4 linked regions of the Callithrix jacchus genome follow. The protein of the gene in region 3 purifies or fractionates together with the protein of the main gene of each other region. This does not show direct contact. Links are inferred from orthologs where the notes say so. Each region holds a gene or a part of one and is shown on either strand. Other genes may lie near its edges.

What was found.
Region 1: the proteins of HDAC4 (region 3) and RUNX2 purify together in Homo sapiens (affinity purification with western blotting; 3 studies listed by BioGRID). This does not show direct contact. The link is inferred for Callithrix jacchus from reciprocal best matches to the Homo sapiens genes HDAC4 and RUNX2.
Region 2: the proteins of HDAC4 (region 3) and HIF1A purify together in Homo sapiens (affinity purification with western blotting; 4 studies listed by BioGRID and IntAct, with this or other methods). This does not show direct contact. The link is inferred for Callithrix jacchus from reciprocal best matches to the Homo sapiens genes HDAC4 and HIF1A.
Region 4: the proteins of HDAC4 (region 3) and TBL1XR1 purify together in Homo sapiens (affinity purification with mass spectrometry; 3 studies listed by BioGRID and IntAct, with this or other methods). This does not show direct contact. The link is inferred for Callithrix jacchus from reciprocal best matches to the Homo sapiens genes HDAC4 and TBL1XR1.

What each region holds. Positions count from the first base shown.
Region 1 is NC_133505.1:53,755,851-53,761,361, reverse strand, and holds the start of RUNX2 (runt-related transcription factor 2), read right to left. Parts: upstream 3,345-5,511; 5' UTR 3,343-3,344; coding exon of another isoform or gene 3,254-3,342; coding exon 2,881-3,253; intron 1-2,880. UniProt on the Homo sapiens protein: Transcription factor involved in osteoblastic differentiation and skeletal morphogenesis. Essential for the maturation of osteoblasts and both intramembranous and endochondral ossification.
Region 2 is NC_133509.1:96,405,206-96,410,655, forward strand, and holds the start of HIF1A (hypoxia-inducible factor 1-alpha), read left to right. Parts: upstream 1-1,728; 5' UTR 1,729-2,025; coding exon 2,026-2,060; intron 2,061-5,450.
Region 3 is NC_133507.1:160,448,994-160,453,947, forward strand, and holds part of HDAC4 (histone deacetylase 4), read right to left. Parts: intron 4,113-4,954; coding exon 3,996-4,112; intron 3,914-3,995; coding exon 3,715-3,913; intron 1-3,714. UniProt on the Homo sapiens protein: Responsible for the deacetylation of lysine residues on the N-terminal part of the core histones (H2A, H2B, H3 and H4).
Region 4 is NC_133518.1:9,854,339-9,859,292, reverse strand, and holds part of TBL1XR1 (F-box-like/WD repeat-containing protein TBL1XR1), read right to left. Parts: intron 3,875-4,954; coding exon 3,729-3,874; intron 1,110-3,728; coding exon 887-1,109; intron 12-886; coding exon 1-11. UniProt on the Homo sapiens protein: F-box-like protein involved in the recruitment of the ubiquitin/19S proteasome complex to nuclear receptor-regulated transcription units. Plays an essential role in transcription activation mediated by nuclear receptors.

The sequences.
Region 1 (5,511 bases), on a different chromosome or scaffold from region 3:
ATTTTCACTGTTTTACGTTTCAAAACATTTTTTAAAATTAAAAAATTAAAAAAAATTCTTAACAATTTGTAATGTGAAATTAGGATAATTATGATTTAAAATAATTTATATGAGTCTTTGGGAATTACTTTGATATTTTTCACTTTTGATATGTATTAGAGTGATTTTTCTGTGTTTGTTCCTAACTTTGTAATCCTGCGCTCTAGATTTTGGAATTTAGCTCTGTATTTTAGAACCAAGTTATAAAACATTGTCACTACTAAATCTCAAAACCATAAAAATATTATTATTGATATGGACCACAGCTGCTGTTTTGGAAAGCAGTGTTCACACATCTTGTTCAAGCAGTTACAAAGATTTTAAGTAATCAGTCAGCTGATAAATTTTCATAAGTTATTAATTATAAAATGCTCCATGGGTCACATCTGTGATTTTTCAGCAAGCTATATTTATGATAAATAATGGACAGATTTTGAGCTGTACAGATTGAAAATTTTTAACTCAAGGTGAAGTATGCTGAGGGATCAAGGACACTGAGACATATTCTCCTACACACACACACACACGCACACACACATACACACACACACTCACTCATTGTATTTGAGGTGAGCCAGTTGTTAATATGTGATTTGTTTCTCACCTAGGAAAAGCCTAAACTTTAACTATTTTACAAAATTAGAGCACATACGTATGACATCTCATTAGTTCGTTGTGATAATCATTATATAATAATCTAAAGCCTGAAGTGAGGTTTTAGACTTCACATAGATTATAGAATGGGGAAATGTTTGCAATGTGATGATAACCTATACATGATGTTTACTACTCACCTGTAATTAGTCTGAGGTAGTGGGTTCATGTTAAGTTCTCAATTGAGGGCTTAAGATACTGTTTGGGAGCTGGGAAAAGGGAAGGTGAAACCCACTTTTCAGAAGAGGAAGAATTGGTTGTAATGTTAAAAAGAAGTTCACTACTGTGCCTTACTTAGAATTCGGTCAAGTTTTGGAAATTTTAATGTAGAATAGTTATTAAGAATGTTACAGAAATATAAGATCCCTGTTATGATAGAATAAGAAGCATTTTAATATATTCTTTGTGACAGTTTTAACAGATTCTTTGTGTAGCTATACTTCTAATACTGAAGAATTTTTTGAAACTTTTGTTCCTGATCCAGTTTTTAAAATGTATTTAAAATGTAGTTAAACACAGTGATATTGTTTAAGAGTAACTTAACTGTCTCTGTTATCCCTCCCTGATACCTCTGTTATCCCTGTTTCAAATGATCCCTCTGTGTAACAGTAGTCTTTACCATTCTTTATCCTTTTATCTCTTTGGTAGTAGTAACAAAAGTTTCAATGTATTAGGTATAATTATGCTATGTGTTATAATGTAGTCTAGCTGTATTTATGTCCTGCTTCCTTAATATAGGAATTTTTAGAATGATACTTAGTACGCATCATTAAATTTTTAAATTAATCTGGATTATTATATTGTATATATTATAACTTAGGGGGCCCACTTACAGTTATTGAGGGAGTCACTACAGCAATTTTACATTTTTTTTGTAAAATACTGTACATTTTCATTACCCTATAAGAGAAAGCATTTTTTCTCCTTTGAAGTTTTTTATCTTTGACCTAAACTAAGACTGATCCTCTAGTAGTAGCCAGTTAAAGTGCGTGAAGTAGGAGGAGTAAAGGAAACTCCAGTCATTAGTTGTAAGTTAAAAGCAAAGTTAATATAGATGTACACAGCAAAAAAATTTAAAGGATATGAGAAAAAATTTTAAAAACTTGCCTTGTATTGGAACATGTTGGACGTCATAAAGAGAATCTTGTAAGTGTGTTTAAATATTTTACTATAATACATTAGCTGATGAATGTTAAAGTCATTTGCATATCTATATCAACACTAAGTTGAAATTAAATACTAGGGACTATATTATGCCTGCTTCTTTTAAAGGCCAGTATGGTTTAATGGTTGTGGCTTTTAAAAATCATATGGGATATCCTTATGGAGCTTTATTTTTTATGAGACTAAACAGCAGTATTCATTTTGGTAGGTCCAAGAATGTGATTAAAAGAATCTTAGACGTTTCAGTGTTTGCTGTGTGTTTATAACAAGGTCTACTATGGATAACAGTGTGTGGATGTAAAATTAAAATTATGTAGAAAAATGCAGTTGCATATAAGTTTTAAAATACTTCCATGAACTTTAATATCCTGGGAAACTATAAAGATCTTTTAAAATTGGCTATGATGTGCTTATCATAATTTTGTTTCAGCTGAATGTATACTTATATATGGTTGTTTAGAAACAAACATTTAGATAGGATATAGTTTAAATTTATAAGTAGATTTCTTTTAGTTGAGCTGGTTAAAATGTTAATAGTATTACAGGTTTATTTCTGTGTTTTACATGGTAGACCATAATGTTGAGATAATTCTGTGGTCTGTTATTTTGTAAAATTGTTTCCTTTTTGAAGTTTGCTCAAATATTGGGAGCTGCCGGAGTCAATCATTTATAATGCTTTGATTAATTTAGAATCTGATTTTTCTTCTGGTGAGGGTTAATGAGAGTATTAAGCTGTTTCTTTTACTCTTTTCATATCCTCACTTCTGTAACTCTAGAAAACATTTTGATCAATGTGAGATAATTTAATTTTGTCTATTTCAAGTCATTACTTTGAAAATTAGATAACATTACAGATACCAAATGCAAATAGATACGGAAATTTCGTTTTCAATTCTTAATGCAACAAGATAGCATTATTAAGATCTTTAATATATTACTTGGAAAAGCTAGCAGTTTAAGAATCATACCTTTATGTTTAACAGGTTCATATCTTACAGGATTTAAAAATATGATAACACTTACCCCAAAAGAAGTTTTGCTGACATGGTGTCACTGTGCTGAAGAGGCTGTTTGATGCCATAGTCCCTCCTTTTTTTTTCAGATAGAACTTGTACCCTCTGTTGTAAATACTGCTTGCAGACTTAAACTGAAAATACAAACCATACCCAAACTTTGTTTTAGTTTTACAGTATGCCTGGAGTACATAGACTTTATATTTATTTTTTTCTGTCAAGAAATTATGTAGCTGGTAACATGTGAAAAGCAAAGAAACAAAACAAAAAGAGAATGAGCAAATATTTGAAGGACCTACTATTACTGCATAGACTGTGGTTAGAGAGCACTCACTGACTCTGTTGGTCTCGGTGGCTGGTAGTGACCTGCGGAGATTAACCATTTAAAAACCAGAGACTTCTTGCTGTCCTCCTGGAGAAAGTTTGCACCGCACTTGTGGTTCTGTGGTTGTTTGTGAGGCGAGTGAAGCATTCACACAATCCAAAAAAGCAAAAGCTTTAAAACTCCTTTTTTTTTTGCAAGCACTATTACTGGAGAGGCAGAATCATGTGGTTTGTGACCTCACAGTACTCAAAGTAAAGTGGGACTGCCTACCACTGTGGCTTTTCCCCCTTGCTCTTTCTTTCTCTCTCTTTCTCTCTCTCTCTCTCTCACAAAAGGCTTGTGGTAAGGCCTTTCCTGGCATCCAGAAGGATATAGCTTTTTAATTTTTGTGACTCATGAGGATTTGGATAGAATACAAATGCTGAAGGAGCCCAAACTCCTGTAAGGTTAAGCATTTGTAGAGCAGAGTTCTGCAGTTAAGGACTTTCCTTTCTACTCTTCCCCCCCAACCCCTGCCTTTTTGCCTCCTCTTTTTAGTTCATTATTGTGTCTGTGGATAAATGAACAAAATTGGCTCAAGAGTCTGTGTGAAATTCTGAACAACAGTGATGATTTACAATAATTTACATCTTTGGACTGTATCACATTCTGGGGTCTGCTTCATATTTGCTGGGTGGCTGGATTCCTTCTGTTTTCCTTTTTCTTGTCTTCTTAAACTTGTGAATCTGTAACTCATTGTAAAAAAAAAAGTTTACCTTAAGGTCTGGTTGCAAACTGCTTGCTAGGCTTGACTGTAATTGGCTGTCATGAAAGTGTTAGTCTAGGCATTTTTTTTTTTACAAATTTTAAATTACAGCTGTCTAGTTTATTATCAATATTTTAGATGGCGGCCTTTACAATAACGATTAAATGTAATCTTTCATGTATACCGTTATCTCATGCCTAGTTGGAAGATCTTAAAAAAGTGAATGACAGGAATTGTAATATAGTTTATTGGATGAATCTTAGTTTTCTTTATGATTGTAATAATTTTTATCTTTCATGGAAGCGTATTCATTTTATATCATTCTTTAAGTAGTTTGGATGTTAACAAAGTGTCTGATAGCAGATCTTCTATAAAGTAAAATGCTTATGTTATAATGTAGATATTCACTTTAGATTCTGTGAGCTTAGAATAGAGTGGGTTAACAGAAGCTATATTTTTTTGTTTCTAAACCTTTGAAATAAATTACAAAATCCTGTGTGTAGTAAGGAATAATGCCCACAGACAGAGTATGTTAGTCGTCTCGATTTGCTAATTCTGATTCAGAAGAAAATTGGAAACATCTTTGGGAAACTATCTCCTTTTTTGCCCCTTTGGAGAAGTATGTATAGAACTCATTTTCTTATTAGGATGATTATATATTATAGGCAGTGGATTTTATATTTATGAATAGAGCTTCCTGTTTTCATCAGTTAGGAGCGATGGAGTATTTTTCAACAAAAATTATAAAGGCGAACAGACCAATTTTCTAGGCATTTTTTGCCATTTATCCATGCCACTCTAAATCTGCATGTTAGACTTCTTCCTAGTGTGATAGTAACTAGGAGTGGCATAAAGTAAATGGGGTAGGCGGAGACAGTGAATTACAAAACATTATTTGGAATGTACAAGGAGGTAAGGGCTGTGGGGAGATAGGAGGGTGTTTGAACTAGAATATCCCTGCGTTCTTTCTACTACTTTTGATTCATATTAGATCATGATAACTGTACAAATATCTTCATAAGTTCCTTTAGAGAAAATTTGATTTTCCCAAAAAAAAACACTGGTAGGGCATGGGAATGATTCTAGTCCTTTATTTTTCAAATGTCCAGACCTTTTTCAGAATAAACTTTTAGTGACAAAATACCAAAAATATATTTTAGTGTTTTAACTACAGATTTTTCATGCCTTATTGTATGTATAATCAGGTTTACCATCGAAAGGCAAAAGCTTTCTTTTAACATGCAGTTATTCATGCAAAGGAGAGGAAAATTATGTTTTCTCTTTTATAAATAAGTTGTACCCATATTATCTGTATCTGTAATTAGTATCCAAAGTAAACAAAAGGAGGGTTTTGTCCATATAGTTTGTGGGATTGCCAGACAGTTTCATGTGTACATATAATAGCAGAATCAGTTAATGAAAATATGTAGGTAGCTGTTGTTGTATGATAAACCAATGATTTTCTTTTTTTGGAATAAGTTTATAGTTTCTACATTGGTATTCACTGAAACATCTTACAAACCCAACATTTTGCTGAATATTTTCTTCCTTAAAATTTTCTGTATGAATAC
Region 2 (5,450 bases), on a different chromosome or scaffold from region 3:
TACATATTATCTCATCTAACCATCCATAATACTGTGGTACAGACACTTTTATATCCATTTTACAAATAAGTAAACTGAGGTATAGAGATATTAAATGACTTGCCAGTAAGTTTCAAAGCCTGTGTATAAGCTCACTCTTGATTCTGGAGACAGTGATTCTTAACATAGTATCTTCAGAATGTTAAACTAAAAGATTTGTAATTTACAGAATTAGTTTTTCCACAATTAAAAAAGAAATTATGAGTAATTATTTTGAGTTCTCTTCAGGCATTTCCCTTAGTTCTTTTCAAGATCTAATACATATCATTTAGTGTTGTAGATCTGATAAACAAAAGTAGCACAAAGATCAAAGTTTTTTTAGAGATGGAGTCTCGTTAGGTTGCCTAAGCTGGAAACTCCCTAGGCTGGCACTACCAGGCTCAAGGAATCCTCCAGCCTCACCCCGCTCAGTAGCTGGAAACATCTTGTCAGCTAGGTCAACATTTAATTATAACTTTATAGGTCTACTGACCAGTTAAAAAGAGGTGCTGTATACATTAGTTGTTGTCAGAGTTTGATGTCTTTATATAGGCCATTGTTTTTACATGCTAATACAATTGAAAGCCAATACGGATATCTCTGTTTACATCCCAAAGCTAGGTTTTAACAAGAAACTCATAAGGCAAAGGTGAGAAGTAAAATAATTTAGTATCAAGTGGAGATATATTTGCAACGTTCCTTGGTTGAGCTCAAAATATATTCTTTTTTTCTTTTAAAAGACTGACAGGCTTGAAGCTTATGCCTCCAAAGACAAAAGTGATTATTTAGTAGCTTGCAAAGTTGCCAAAGGCCATTTTTTTCTACTGAATTTGGTTTATACTCTTATTAAGGTCATTTATACCTATTTGTAACTGCTTAACATAGTTTCAGATTTTAAGATTTCCCTGCAACTTCATTTCCCCTGAGGTTTACAGCAAGAGAAGTTAGTTTTTATTTTTAATTAAACTCCACCACAGAAAAACTTAGTGGACAAGGAGAGTTCCCCTGTGTTCCATGGCAGAGTGCGGTGGGTGACACTGACCCGTGGTTAGGTAACCTGACAAGGAAAGACCCGTTGTAACACATCTGAACAATGAGACCAATGGAAGGGCTTGCTGCCACGAGGCGAAGTCTGCTTTTTTGAACTAGGAACTCAATCAGAGTTGGGCGGCAATCCTGCCCAGCACTGCGGCGGAAGAGAAAGAGAGCCGGAGCCTTACATTACTGCACCAAGAGTATGAAAATATGATGCAGGTTTGGGACCCGGCAACTGAAATCCCTTCTCAGCAGCGCCTCCCAAAGCTGGCCACCGCCTTCCTTAGGAGAAAGCCCAGAGTCCCCAGACCCGGGCTGAGCCGCGCCCCCAGCTCTTTTCTCTTTCCTCCGCAGCTAAACACAGACGAGCACGTGAGCGGGGCAGCGCGTCCCAGCTGTGCCTCAGCTGACCGCCTCCTGATTGGCTGAGAGCGACGTGGGCTGGGGTGGGGACTGGCCGCCTGCGTCGCTCGCCATTGGCTTTCGGGGAACCCGCCTCCACCTCAGGTGAGGCGGGCCTGCGGGAGCAAGCGCCGGCCCGAGCAGGCGGCGGGCGCGCTCCCGCCCGCTCTCCCCTCTCCGTGCGCCGGAGCGCGCTTCCGCCTCCTCTCCCCTCCCCGCGCGCCGGAGCGCGCCTCCGCCCTTGCCCGCCCCCTGCCGCTGCTTCAGCTTCTCAGTGCACAGAGCTGCCTCGTCTGAGGGGACGCGAGGATCACCCTCGTCGTCGCTTCGGCCACTGCGTCGGGCTGGGCCCTGACAAGCCGCCCGAGGAAAGAGGCTCGGAGTCTGGCCCGGACCCCGGCGATTGCCGCCCACTTCTCTTCCTTCTGGTCTCACGAGCGGTTTCCCGCCTCGCACCTCCACCTCTGGACTTGCCTTTCCTTCTCTCTCCGCGTGTGGAGGGAGCCAGCGCTTAGGCCGGAGAGAGCCGGGGGGCTGCCCGCCGTGAAGGCACGCGGGGACCGATTCACCATGGAGGGCGCCAGCGGCGCGAACGACAAGAAAAAGTAAGCCTATTCCCTCGGCCGGCCGCCTTCGCCGGCGCCCCTGCCCGCCGGCCCGCCCTGGGCTCCCGGGCCAGCGTCGGCGTTCCTGGGGGTGGGGGGGGGCAGCCTTTTTTGTTTCTGCCGCTTCTCCTCTCCCCTCTCTTTCCCCCAACCTCGCCGGCCAGGCTCCCCCGCTGTCCACGTCGCCATCTTGTCGTGGGGGGTGGGAGACGCCTCTAAAGTGCTTTCAGGGGCCGGGGTCTGAGCCCTGCTCGCCCTCCCCGCCGGCCGTGGGGGCCTCGCGCCGCCCACCTACCCGCCTCAAAAACCCAGCCTGCTCTGTGGCCCCATCCGGAGGGGACTTTACCCAGCCCGAAAACCCCGAGAAGAGAAATGAGCTGCAGCTCGGTCGTCGCGGTTTGCACCCGGAGCTTCCGCTCCTTCCCGCCCCCATCCCCTCCGGTTCCATTGAAAACTCGGCCCTGGGGCGGACCCTGCACGCTGGTCCTGTCTTCCCTGTGGGCTCCCGGCCCTGAGTTCCGGACCGACGGACTCGCGTGGTCGGATGCGATCTTGTCCTGTGGTTGTCCAGCCGTCGCGGGTGTCTTTGCCTTTGTGCATTAAGGGATTTGCCGCGATGGCTTTAAGATGCGAACTTTTTAGTTTGCACGTGCAGGTTTTGTTTTAATCGCCTTGAAAAACTTGCCTAGACCGAGAGTCAGAGTAACGGGAATTTAGGGAAATAGCAACATTTTAAAGAGAACTTCAGAATTGAATACTTGTGTTCATATCACCTGTCACGGCAACGCAGATATTATAAATGAATATATGCCTCATTAATTCTTGAAATAGTGAAAATGTAGGGGCTGATTAAATGTAGGCAGTTTTAGTGATATTGAAGAAAAAGCGTATGATGAGTTAATGAAATACGGCACTAAAATGATGCAAAAATTTTGGAATTGTCTCATTTTTCTGAAATCGAAGTATATTAAAGGAAAACCTTTAACATATATCCAAAGTAAATAATCACTCGGTTAGAACTGAATCCGAGTTTTATAAATCACCTTGAAGTTGTAGTCTAAGGGGTACATTAGATATTAAAAATTGTGATTTGTACCAGTGGTGTTAAGAGCTAACTTCCCCATCCCTCAACACACACACACAATTTTGTCCACTTTGGTATTTAAACTTTTAAGGAAATTATTTTAAGGAATTGAAGATTTAGAGTAAGAGTTTTGGTTAGTAGACTGGCTTTGCTGGCAAATCCTTCCACTCTCTGGGAGAGAGATTAATTTCCCTAATCAGTATCAGCAGAAGATAAACTTGTTTATATTCTTGTTGTTTTGTAGATCCCTTCTCCTGGTCCCTCTTCAGTAGAATGTTAAATTTTCAGTTTGTGTACACCAGAGAAGGCACTAATAAAATTCAAAAAGTGAGCGAACAGGTCTAGATTAATTCCAACAGTTACCAGGAATTAATTGCAGTTTATTTTGCGGAGGTGATTACAGTGCTTTTGATGAAATGATGAGCTGCTATATTGTAAACCTAAGGCAGATTGCCTCTCTATAGTGCCAATTTTCTGTCCTTATTATATATTGAACCATACTTAATACAATGCATTAAATTATGCACCAATCACTTCCTTTTTATATACAGTATCGAACTCATTTCTTTGCCATTCATCAGTTCAGAATGTCAGAAGCAGCTTTGAAATAAGTGAATAAATAAATTAGCTACTGTTCCTCAGCCCCAATTCTAAATGAGTTTCTTAGATTTTCCTCAGCCCATGTGTTACTTTCAAAATGTTCTCACTTAAAAAGTTAGAACCTTGGATAGAATGGACTCACATTTCTTAATATAGAAGATCTTGATATAACCGAGAAATTAAGTTAAACACTTAATAAATGGTGGTTACTCAACACTTTTAGATGCTGTTTATAACAGATGACCTTTTCTAACTAATTTACAGTTTTTTGAAAGATAACGGAGATTGGGGGATGGGGATTTTCTTCATGCAGTTTTTTTTTTTTTTTTTTTTTTTTTTCGTTTGAAATGAGCTCCCAGTGTTGGAGTTTGGGAAACAAATTTGTCTTTTTAAGAGAAGGTCTAGAAAACTCAAAACCTGGAGAACTGGAAGAAATCAGAATAGAAAATGGGTATAGTTATAATATTAGAGATTTAACATAGGACATTTCATGTGGGTTCCTTGTTATAGGGGCTGGACTTTAATAGAACGTGTATTTTGATTTTTAGATTTGTAAAGGAATGTCAAGAAAGTAATGATTCTGTTTCAGGCTTCAGGCCAGACCACTTCAAAGTTTTGCGAAACAAGTAGTTACTGAATCATTAAAGTAAAATTTCTGACAATAGATATTCCTTAATTTCCTTCTTTAATTTTGGACGTTAAAAGTCAAGAGGCTCTCTCGTTTATTAGCAAACTTTTCTCCTTAGAATTCTACTTTGATTTTCCTTTTGTTTGAGGAAGCAGCATATAATGATTAAGAGCATAGGATCTGGAGTCAGATACCTCGAGTTAAGGGTCCCAGCCCTTCACTGGTGAGCTTGAGCAAGTTACTGAATGCCTCTGAGCTGTTTTCCTCCTTTTGAAATGATAAGAATAGCAGCCATCTGAGCAGTTATTGTAAAGATTAAATGAGATAATGCATATAAAGCAGTTAGTTGCCTGGAATAGGAGTCTTGGTGACATTGTGTACTTGAAAATAGATGTTGCTTGTTAAAATTGTGATTTAAACTTCCACAACTCTTAGAACTCTTTTTGCTAGGCCTTCCAGCTATTAACTTTAGTTTCTTTTCTGCATCTTCATGCATCTTTCCTATCTTCTGAAAGTGAAAAGACTAACATTGGATCCAGAGTTTTAAAGGACTTTTTCCCTGCTAAAATGGGCAAAAGAGTACATCCAGCCGGGCGCAGTGGCTCATGCCTGTAATCCCAGAACTTTGGGAGGCCGAGGCCGGTGGATCACGAGGTCAAAATATCGAGACCATCCTGGTCAACATGGTGAAACCCCGTCTCTACTAAAAATACAAAAAATTAGCTGGGCATGGTGGTGCGTGCCTGTGATCCCAGCTACTCAGGAGGCTGAGGCAGGAGAATTGCCTGAACCCAGGAGGCGGAGGTTGCGGTGAGCCGAGATTGCGCCATTGCACTCCAGCCTGGGTATCAAGAGCGAAACTCCATCTCAAAAAAAAAAAAAAAAAAAAAAGTACATCCTGGGGTTATGTTGGCATCTAGCATCAGCTATTTTTCTTGAGCATCTGATCTACTCTGTATTCTAGGCCTCCTCCTTCAGAATTCCTCACCCCTGCGTTTTCTCCCCAAATAGAATACTTTGAATTTACTCTGGAAGCTAGAGTCAAACATACACAATATTCTAGTCTTACTGTTAATTT
Region 3 (4,954 bases):
CCTCCACTCTCAGCCTGTGACAGTGGGACAGTGGACCTCTGCGGCCAGCTCAGGAAAGCAGTAGCCTTAAGACACTGGTGGCATGCTCTGAGTGTGGCCAGGAGGCTAGAAAGATCTGTGACAAGGCCACCTCCAGCAGGCACACGCCTCCCTCGACCTGGGCCTTTCTCCCGCCTCTCCGCCTGCAGGCTCCTAGTGAGATCTCAGCTCTGACGCCGCTTGTCCAGGAAGCCTTCCCCATGCCCACCTGCTGCACAGCCCGGGTCTCCAGCCTTCTTCTCCAAATGTCTGCTCCTCCTGGGTCTTGAGAGGCCCTGTCTCTTGGGTCCTGACAGCAGGTTACATGGTTCTCAACATCTTGCTTCTCAGCCACATGGGCATCATAGAGGAATCAGCTGGGCCACCCAGGCCATGATGAGGCCCACAGTTCTGCACCCTACAAGCAGCAGCACAGGGCTCCACATACGCACTTCCCTTCTCACCCACGGGGGGCTCCTGAGCTCCACTCCCTGCCTCGGCTACTTATGCAGAGACTAATCTCCAAATGCAGCGGCCACTCTGCAGAGTGTGAGTCCACAGTGACGGTCTGCGGAGTGCCGCACTGGAGCAGCACATAAGCAGGGACATAGGAGAGTCACACTGAGCCTGTGACAGCGGCAAGGGGCTGCCCGGAGCAGGGCGGAAAGGGCCGACTGGAGGGTGTGGCGTGTAGGAGCAACTCCAGGAGACCCGGGACCATGGCTCACCCCTCTGGTCTCCACCAGTGACCACCCACAGAGGCCTCTGTTTCAGTGTTTGTGACTGGAGGTTTGTCCCAGCTCTGATATCCTATAGGCCTGTGCACCACGATTACCAGCGGGAAGGTGGGCTAGGAAAACACAGGCATGCTGTCCAGGAGACCAAGTCAGGCACAAGCTGGCCAAGAACTGTGGGAAAGGACTGCATGCACCCAGAAACCAAGAGTCAGCGTGGTCCGGGGAAGGAGCTGATGAGGCAGGATGGGGGCACGAACTGAGGCCTGGGACGAGGGTGGTGGAACCACAGCCGACTGGGAAAAGGCCCCGGCGCTGGGAGCGGGCTGAGGACTGCGGGCTGTGGCCTGGTCCAGCGTTGAGCCCACCGCCCAGCTGCCATGCCGGATTGGGGAAGAGCGATGAGGCTCCTGGAGCAAGGCTGGGCTTCCTGCTGACACGCTGGGTCTTCACTCCAGGCCTGCGCCACCCCGCCAGGGCTGCTGTGACAGGGAGGACATCCAGTGCAGCAGCCGTGCACCGGATGTGGTCCACGTGGGACTGAGAAAGTGAATTCCAATTCTGACTTTATCTTTTTACTTCAGTTTCACAGCTCCTCATGGCTGGCGGCTCCTGACCTGGCCGGTACTGCTCCAGGCAGCGTGGGGGCCGCCAGCCTTCCAGGAGAGTCTGCTGGCTGCAGGAGGACAGACTGGAGGGGCAGGAACCTGTGCAGGAGGCTTCTTTCCATGAGAGGATGGGGCAGTCCCAGTGGGTTCCAAATCAGGGCCCTGCTTATGGCTGGGCTGGGGGAGCACCCCTGAGGCACTGAGAAGGATGGACAGGGGCTGGCTGGGGGCATGAGCGAGTGTGGGAGGTGGCAGGTTAAGAACAAGGTAATGATCACAACACCACCACCATACCTGCAGGGCATGTGACTGCACAGCCCACTTAACCCTCATCAGGCACGCAGGGGTGGACCCCTTGGTGCCCCCACTTCCCAGATGGAAGAATGAGGCTGACAGAGCCTTCCCAGGTCATAGAGCGGGAGAAGGCTGGGACGGAGCGCCTGTGGGCCGCACGATGCTGCACGTGAGACACTGGCTTGGAGGCTCCCAGCCAGGGGACTGGTGGGACGAGCTGCTGGCAACCTGGGGGGGCCCTGCAAGAGACACAGGGCTTGCGGAGTTTCAGAGGTGGTGGGCAGGACAGGAGGGGCTGGCTGGGCACAGGTGTAAGGCAAGGCCAGAACAAGCTGGGCAGCCGAGCATGGGCCCCCTGGCGCCACAGAGCCTGGGAGGGCACCATGGACAGTCCCCATGCCAGTGAGCAAGCTGCACCTTTGAGGACAAGACGACTGCGCAGGGAGGAAGCAATGCCGAGCTCAGCACGCGTCTTGGAGAGGTGAGATCCACGCAAAGCCGTCATTCAGCTTCTACGAAACAAGGCTGTTTGCCCAGAACCCGATACACAAGACTATGCATGTGACCTGACCACGTATGACAAACCGATCTGAAGAAGGAAAAATGAGTGATAGAAACACCTCTGATAAAGCGAATCCCAGGGATCCTGAAGGATCAGGCATATTTCACATTTTTAGAAGATATGAGAGGAGAAACTCAGAAACCCCACCTCAGGTTAGCTGTCTGGAGCATCTAGGAGACTCAGACACCATCTCAGATAAATTCCTCCAGACAGATCCCCGTGCCTACCACAGTGGCCGGAGCTTGGAGAGGTGCTGTGAGGGCTGCCCCTCCCTGGTTACACCACGGGCTCCTTTGCTGTGAACAGGGCAGGGGCACGAATTTGAGCTTCTGGAGAATCAAACAAAAGGGCCCAGGCATAAAACAAAGGTGGCCCCTTGTGGCTTCGGGTGAAGAAGGAATAAGGAGCAATCCTCTCTGTGTCAACACACGGGCAGCACAAAGCAAGAGAACACCAAAATCCCCCAGGCCGGTCACACCAGAGGCCCAGGCCTGCCCAAGCCAGCCCCCAGCTCCTTGCACCCTGCAGCTCAGCCTCCTACAACACACCAAGCTCCTGAGTTTCCACCAGGTTCACTGCCAGAGTTTGATGGGTGCAGCTCTGAGATTATTTTAGCCTTTCACTGGGAACAAGAGATTTCCAGGAAGCCGGATGTAAAGAAATGAAGATGTACAACGATGTCCCACACAGCACGGGGGTGGGTGCTCCCTCACTTCTTCTGAGACGGAGTCTTGCTCTGTCGCCCGGGCTGGAGTGCAGTGGCACGATCTCGGCCAATTGCAACCTCCACCTCTCCAGTTCAAGCGATTCTCCTACCTCAGCCTCATGAGTAGCTAAGATTACAGGCACCTGCCACCATGCCCAACTGATTTCTGTATTTGTAGTAGGGATGGGGTTTCACCATGTTGGCCAGGCTGGTCTCGAACTCCTGACCTCAGGTGATCCACCTGCCTCGGCCTCCCGAAGTGCTGGGATGACAGGCGTGAGCCCCCGTGCCAGCTGGTGCACCCTCATTTCTGGAGTGACGCTTTCACACTGCTGATGCAACTTCATAAGAAAGTTCTTATTTTTCTCTGAATTGTATTTTTCTAAATATAGAAAAATTTCCGAGCTCAGGCCACTCCCCAGATGGGGCACCTTTGAAAAATGTTCCATTAATGGAAATTGACCACAGTAGTCGGTTCAGGGCTTCCAGCACCGGCTCAGCGTGGCCCAGTGAGAAACGCAAATCGCAAGAGCCAGTGAGCGACCTCTCCCGAGAGGTGAGAAAGGGGCAGTGACTTCTGTTTTCGCTCCGTCTACCTGACTCTGGGAGGGGGGTGTGGATTTGCATTGCAGCCACGGTGGCTATATGACATGACGGGGATGTGTGTTTGGGAACTGTGGGGGTGGGACGGGCGTGTCTTTCTGTCTCCTCCAAAGGCAGGGGAGGGCCGGGCACCATCCAGAGCGGGGGCAGCCTCAGAGCCTGGCAGCAGCCGAGTCCACCTGTGCTCACCTGTGACAAGGGGCGCTTGTGCCGGGGGCTGCTCCAGTAAGACCATGTGCTGCAGAAGAGGGCTGTGCGCTGCCCCTCCATCCCGCTCCAAGGGCGAGGTGCTCAGGTAGGGAGTGAGGTGGGTGCCCGGGAAAAGGGAGAGCCTCTGCTGGAGGGTGGGGAGGGCGAGTCTCTCAGCATCCTGCTGGCCTGCCGCGCCCTGGAAAGCACAGCCGGGGATGCTCAGGCGGAAGGAACCACCACCGCCACCCCACGCCACAGGGACCCAGGCGGTGACTTACAGCAGAAGGGCCGGTGGCAGGCAGGCCCAGCGTGATGTTGGGCAGGGAGGGCGACGTGTACAGGGGAAGTGGAGCGGCTGAGCCCTCTCGCGCCACAAGTCGGTGCGCCAAACTCGTCTGGGGACAGAACACATGAGGACGGTCAGTTGGTCATGGCCAAACATCAGCAGTACACACCAAGAACAGCAGCTGTGAAAACGCCTGTGGTGGCCTGCGCTGCGTTCTGATGTGGAGCACAAACGTGGTGGAACAAGTGAGACGGCGCTGACGGGTGAGAGCTAAGCGCGCCCAGCACGGAAGCACAATTCAGGGCTCGTGTCCTCCCCCCCGATACGAGTTCTTCTGTCACTTTTCCAGCGTCGGCTCGTTGATTTTTATTCAATTTGATTATTTACCACAGAGTAATCCGGAGAAAACCTAGGGTAACATAGTTGACCTCATTTTGTAGTTGGGACGTCTTTCCAGACCTAACACCAAAGGCAGAAATCAAAACAAAAATAAGTGTAATTGTACGTTTAAAAACAACTAAAAGGGCATGCTTGGGTTGTTTGTCACACAAAGGATACAGGCTTGAGAGGATGGACACCCACACTTTGTATGACATGACTACCACGCATTGCATGCCCGCACCAAAACATCTCATGGACCCTATAAACATATCCATCTATTGTGTACCCACAAACATTAAAAAGAAAACCATAAAACAGCTGCTTGTATGACAGGCCAGCAATGAAGACAACATGGGCCGAGTGTGGGCAGATGAGGGCGGGCACAGACAGCTTGCAGACCAGCCGACAGTGAGCAGTGCCCGCGGTGAGGACCGGCGACTGCAGAGCTCATGAAGGGGAGGACGGTCAGGAAAATCCTAAAAACCAGCCAACCTGTGATCCTAGAGCTCCACACCCGGGACAGAATGTTAGGAGAGGTAAGGAGGCGACCTGGTGCTCACGAAACCTCGG
Region 4 (4,954 bases), on a different chromosome or scaffold from region 3:
AGTATGATTATCTGCATCATGAGAAACAAGTGAGCATTTCCAGAGCAGTATTACAACTTGGGGTGGGGTGAATTCTTAACTAGCAAATACCTTCCTTTATTACACAGTGTAACATTTTTAATTACATCAAGTTAAGCTGAACATGACTGCACAGTCTTTGTCACATGGAAAATAAATTCCTATCTTTAAGTATTGACCATAGTTGTTTTTTTTTTTTTAAGAGGGGTGGCATGGGAATAAGACGTTAAATGATTAGACCTCAACTTGGATAAAACAGTAAAATGGATTGAATTAAATATAACGTGTAGCAGTACGATTCTGAGTTTCTGCCAGTAGGGGTTGCTGATATCATTTATATAACATGAGTTGCCTTTTATCTCAATATCAGAACTCTAATGATATTTGTTGATAACTAGTTTTACAAATTTTATTTAGGAATCAGATGTAGATGCAAAAATTCACTTAAAAATGGGAAAAGGGTTTCTAAATATTTTTAAAAGAAAATAAAAGTAAATCTAGCTTTCTGGAGCTTTAGGAATAAAAAATCTGAACTGTGTGGTACAAGGTAGGGAAACAAGCTGGTGCAAACAACTGATGAAATTACTTCAGCCTAGAAGATGGGACATTCTGGTAAAGCAAAATATTTCCTCTGAAAATAAATTTTTAAAAATTCTTGTCTCCTGGGACCTTCCTGAGGGTGGAGGAGGGAGGAAGAAGAGAATCAGAAAAAATAACTATTGGACACTAGGCTTAGTACCTGGTGATGAAATCATCTGTACAACAAACCCTGTGACACCAGTTCTCCCATGCGACAAACCTGCACGTGCACCCCTGAACCTAAAACAAAAGTTTAAAAAATAAACAAACACATTCTTGTCTGGCTCACTTGCTATAGTGTGTGCTCCGTTCTCCTCCCCGTTCGCTGTGTTTTCTCCATTTTTTGCAGATCCTTGCTGGTTGGCCGCAGCGGCAGCAGCTGCAGCAGCTGCCGCCTGTTGCTGTGCGAGCTTATCTCTGTAAGCTTGTTGTCTCGTTTGTACTACATCAGGCATCACGGCATCTATCAGGGACAGAGACTCTATTGGTCGGCCATCAAACAAGGTACCATCCTGGATGTGGAAGAGTGTGAGAGAAGAAAAGGCAAAGGCAGTGTTTAAAGTTATTCGTATTTATACAAAATCAGAAATGAAATGAAAATCTTCATTCCAAGAAAAACATTTGTAAGAACTTTCTGAACTCATATAAGCAGCAGTCTGGGGGGAAGAAAGAAACTGCAAGAAGCCAGCTGCAAATGGCTGCTTAGATTTTCCTTTTCATTTAGTTCATACTGTCATTAAATGCTGTACGGACAGAACTGAAATATAAAAGAAGCCACTGCTGAAAATGAAAGGGATAAGATGTAGCCCAGCTGATAAAAAGGTGTATTACTTAGATTCCAAAATTCTGTTAGTGAAAGCAACAACAACACGGGATAGCTGATGTAATGATCAGAGGCCTGGCGGCACATCATTATAGTAAATACCTCTCTTATAAAACTAAAAACGTTGTGGGCTACAAAGTTTCCTGTGATTTGATTAGGATATTAAAGCAGAAACAGACTTCCTGGGCTACAGTGCTCCTTAATACTAGGGAGTTGTTGGAATTTCCAAAGCTCCACCTATTGATATTAGGAAGTTCCTAATAAGGAGTTCTCCAAGTAAGCACAAGAAGAGACACAAACACAGAGCAAGTTGGAAACGGAAACAGTACAAATGAGCTAGGAACATGCGCATGTGAAGTCCGGTTCAGTTAAACCGTAAACATGTACCAGTGACAATCTACAGTGGTTTGCAGGGTTCTGTGAGCTGCAAAAACACAGCACATCCTTCTGAACTGTCCTCTGTAATGTAGTATTTGAGGAACAGGATAAAGTATTTTAATATATAAATAATTTTTAAAAGGTATTAAAACCAACACAGATACTGTGGAATAAAAGCTATGTCAAATTTACACAAATTTTAAGGCAAAATTTAGTTTTGTGTTAGTGGATTTTCACTCAAAGAGCTGCAGAAACAAAGTAAAATAAATTTTAGTATAATTCCTAATTCTAGTAATAATCATTGATACAGAAATCATAGATATTTCAGTTTAAAAAATTCTAGCCAGGCACAGTGGCTCATGCCTGTAATCCCGGCACTTGGGGAGACCGAGGCGGGTGGATCATGAGGTCAAGAGTTTGAGACCAGCCTGGCCAACATGGTGAAACCCCATCTCTACTAAAAATACAAAAATTAGCTGGGCTTGGTGGTGCATGCCTGTAATTCCAGCTACTTGGGAGGCTGAGGCAGGAGAATCGCTTGAACCTGGGAGATGGAGGTTGCAGTGAGTCAAGATTGCGCCACTGCACTCCAGCCTGGGGACAGAGTGAGACTCTGTCTCCAAAGGAAAAAAAAAAAAAAAAGAATACTTGCAAAAGGGGAACATGTTCGTCTCTGAAGTAAAAGGGGGAAAGCTTCTCTCTTCACATAAAAATTTTAAACAAGGCTGGGCATGGTGGCTCACACTTGTAATCCCAGTACTTTGGGAGGCCGAGGTGGGCAGATTACCTGAGGTTAGGAGTCAAGATCAGCCTGGTCAACATGGGGAAACCCCGTTTCTACAAAAATTAGCCAGGCGTGGTGGCGGGTGCCTGTAATCCCAGCTGCTCAGGAGGCTGAGGCAGGAGAATTGAACCCAAGAGGCGGAGGCTGCAGTGACCTAAGATCATGCCACTGCACTCCAGCCTGGGTAACAAAGCGAGGACCCACCACCCCACCCCACACACACTTTAAAACAGACAAATCAGGGGCTTACAATCTTCTTCTGTAAAAGACTAGACATTAAGTATTAATTTAGGCTTTGCAGGCCAAAACGTCTCTTTTGCAACTACTATTCTGCCATAAGTAGCCATAGACAATATGTAAATGAGTGTGGTTATGTTCCAATCAAGCTTTATTTACAAAAGCCAAGAGCAGGGTTTGGCTAATGGGTCACAGTATGCTGACACCTGAGCCAAACTATTTACATGTAGTCCTTAGATAAGCAGTACCATCCAGAGTTGGCTTCAATTATAAATTGCTTTAAATAAGGGTATATTCAAATAACATGGAGAGTTTACCATTTTCAGTCCAGTAATTACGATCTCAGCATTCCACAGCACGATGCTGTTGTGTTAATAAAAATTATTTCTGGCCAGTCGCAGTGGCTAACGCCTGTATTCCCAACACTTTGGGAGGCGGAGGCGGGCAGATCACCTGAGGTCAGGAGTTCAAGACAAGCCTGGCCGACATGGTAAAAACCCCATCTTTACTAAAAATACAAAAATTAGCCGGATGCGGTGGCACATGCCTGTAATCCCAGCTACTCGAGAGGCTAAGGCACAAGAATTGCTTGATCCTGGGAGGTGGAGGTTGCAGTGAGCTGAGACTCCACTTCACTGCACTCCAGCCTGGGTGACAGAGGGAGATTCCATTTCAAAAACATAAAAATAAAAATAAAAAATTTCTTAGTGTTTACTTATAAAATCAGATTAAGGCAAATAAACTACAGATAATGACCCTAACACCTGTGCAATCTACATTAGCAATGAACTGTCTGCATTTTTGTTAACCCAGTGAAGTTAAAGTCAGAATGCTGAAGAAGCAAGCAAGACAACAGACGTAGAGACATATTTAGGAGTAAAATGAGGATTTGAAATAAGTCTTCCTTACCTCATTAATGCTAACTTCTGCTTCTACATACTGTAGACCTTTCTGGATGATGGAAATCAATGCAGCAGGTGGGACAAGTGCACCATTTATATTGGACTGACTGATATGGCTTTCTATACCAAAGGTAAATGCTGAATGAGAAAACCCTAAAAGCAAAAGGAAAAGTATGAGAATTTATTTTCCTAGTGGCAACATGCTAAATAACACACACAAAAAGATCACTATAGTCTTTCTACATCCCACTCTACCCATTTAAAATCCCAGACAAGTACGCTAAGGTCTAGAGTGTGTGTGTGTGTGTGTGTGTGTGTGTTACATATTTTACTTCTCTGTTACTTAATGTATACTTTTAAATTTCTAGTAAATACTTGGATTATATAACTTCAAGTTTTCTAAAATGTAGTCATGGTATACAACTTTTCTTAACAAAAAGCATCAAACTTAAAAGGAAAAAAAAACAAGCCTTTGGAAATCATGTGATTCAACTGTTTAAGATAAATGTGGTCAAGATAGATTCAGTAATATTTAATATTTCTATAGTATATTTTAAATTTTTTACATCCAGAACTAAGGAACTTTATTTCAAATTTTCTTTCATTGCACTTAATATGCTTTAAATAGGCACTCATTCTGAATGATTTTCAGAATTTACTTCATGTAACTGTTATCTACTATGTCGTTACAATTCAGTAAGGTCTTTAAAGCAATCTAGTACTCAGGTAAAATCTGAGGTATTTAAATTTCTACATATAAACTGTCAAACATCTGATAAATTCAGTATTTTGCAGCTCTTTGAAACTACTTAGGAAATAAAAGGCAAACAAATATAAATTTAAATATTAAATAATTACAACGCTTAAATCCCATTTTATGTACGAATTAAGTGCTTTAAACAATACCAGTCCTTTGCCAGTGAGTAATAACTCATCTATATGAAATCCAGAGCTAGCAAATGAGTATCTGGTTTACAGGTTCCCACTCGCAATTATTTACTTTTAACTTGAAATACTTAAAACCAAAGCACTTGCATAATAAAAATCTCTTTATGCTGGCCTTGCTTTTTATGAATAGCTAGTCAAAATTCAAAGGTAAAATTCTAATAAGTTGATAAACCAAAGGTGGTTTTCTTTACTGAAATATTAATCATTTAGCAGTAAGTAGTAATTTCTATAATGTACTTTAAACAATTCAATTAAATTCTACATGTAACACACAATAATCTACAT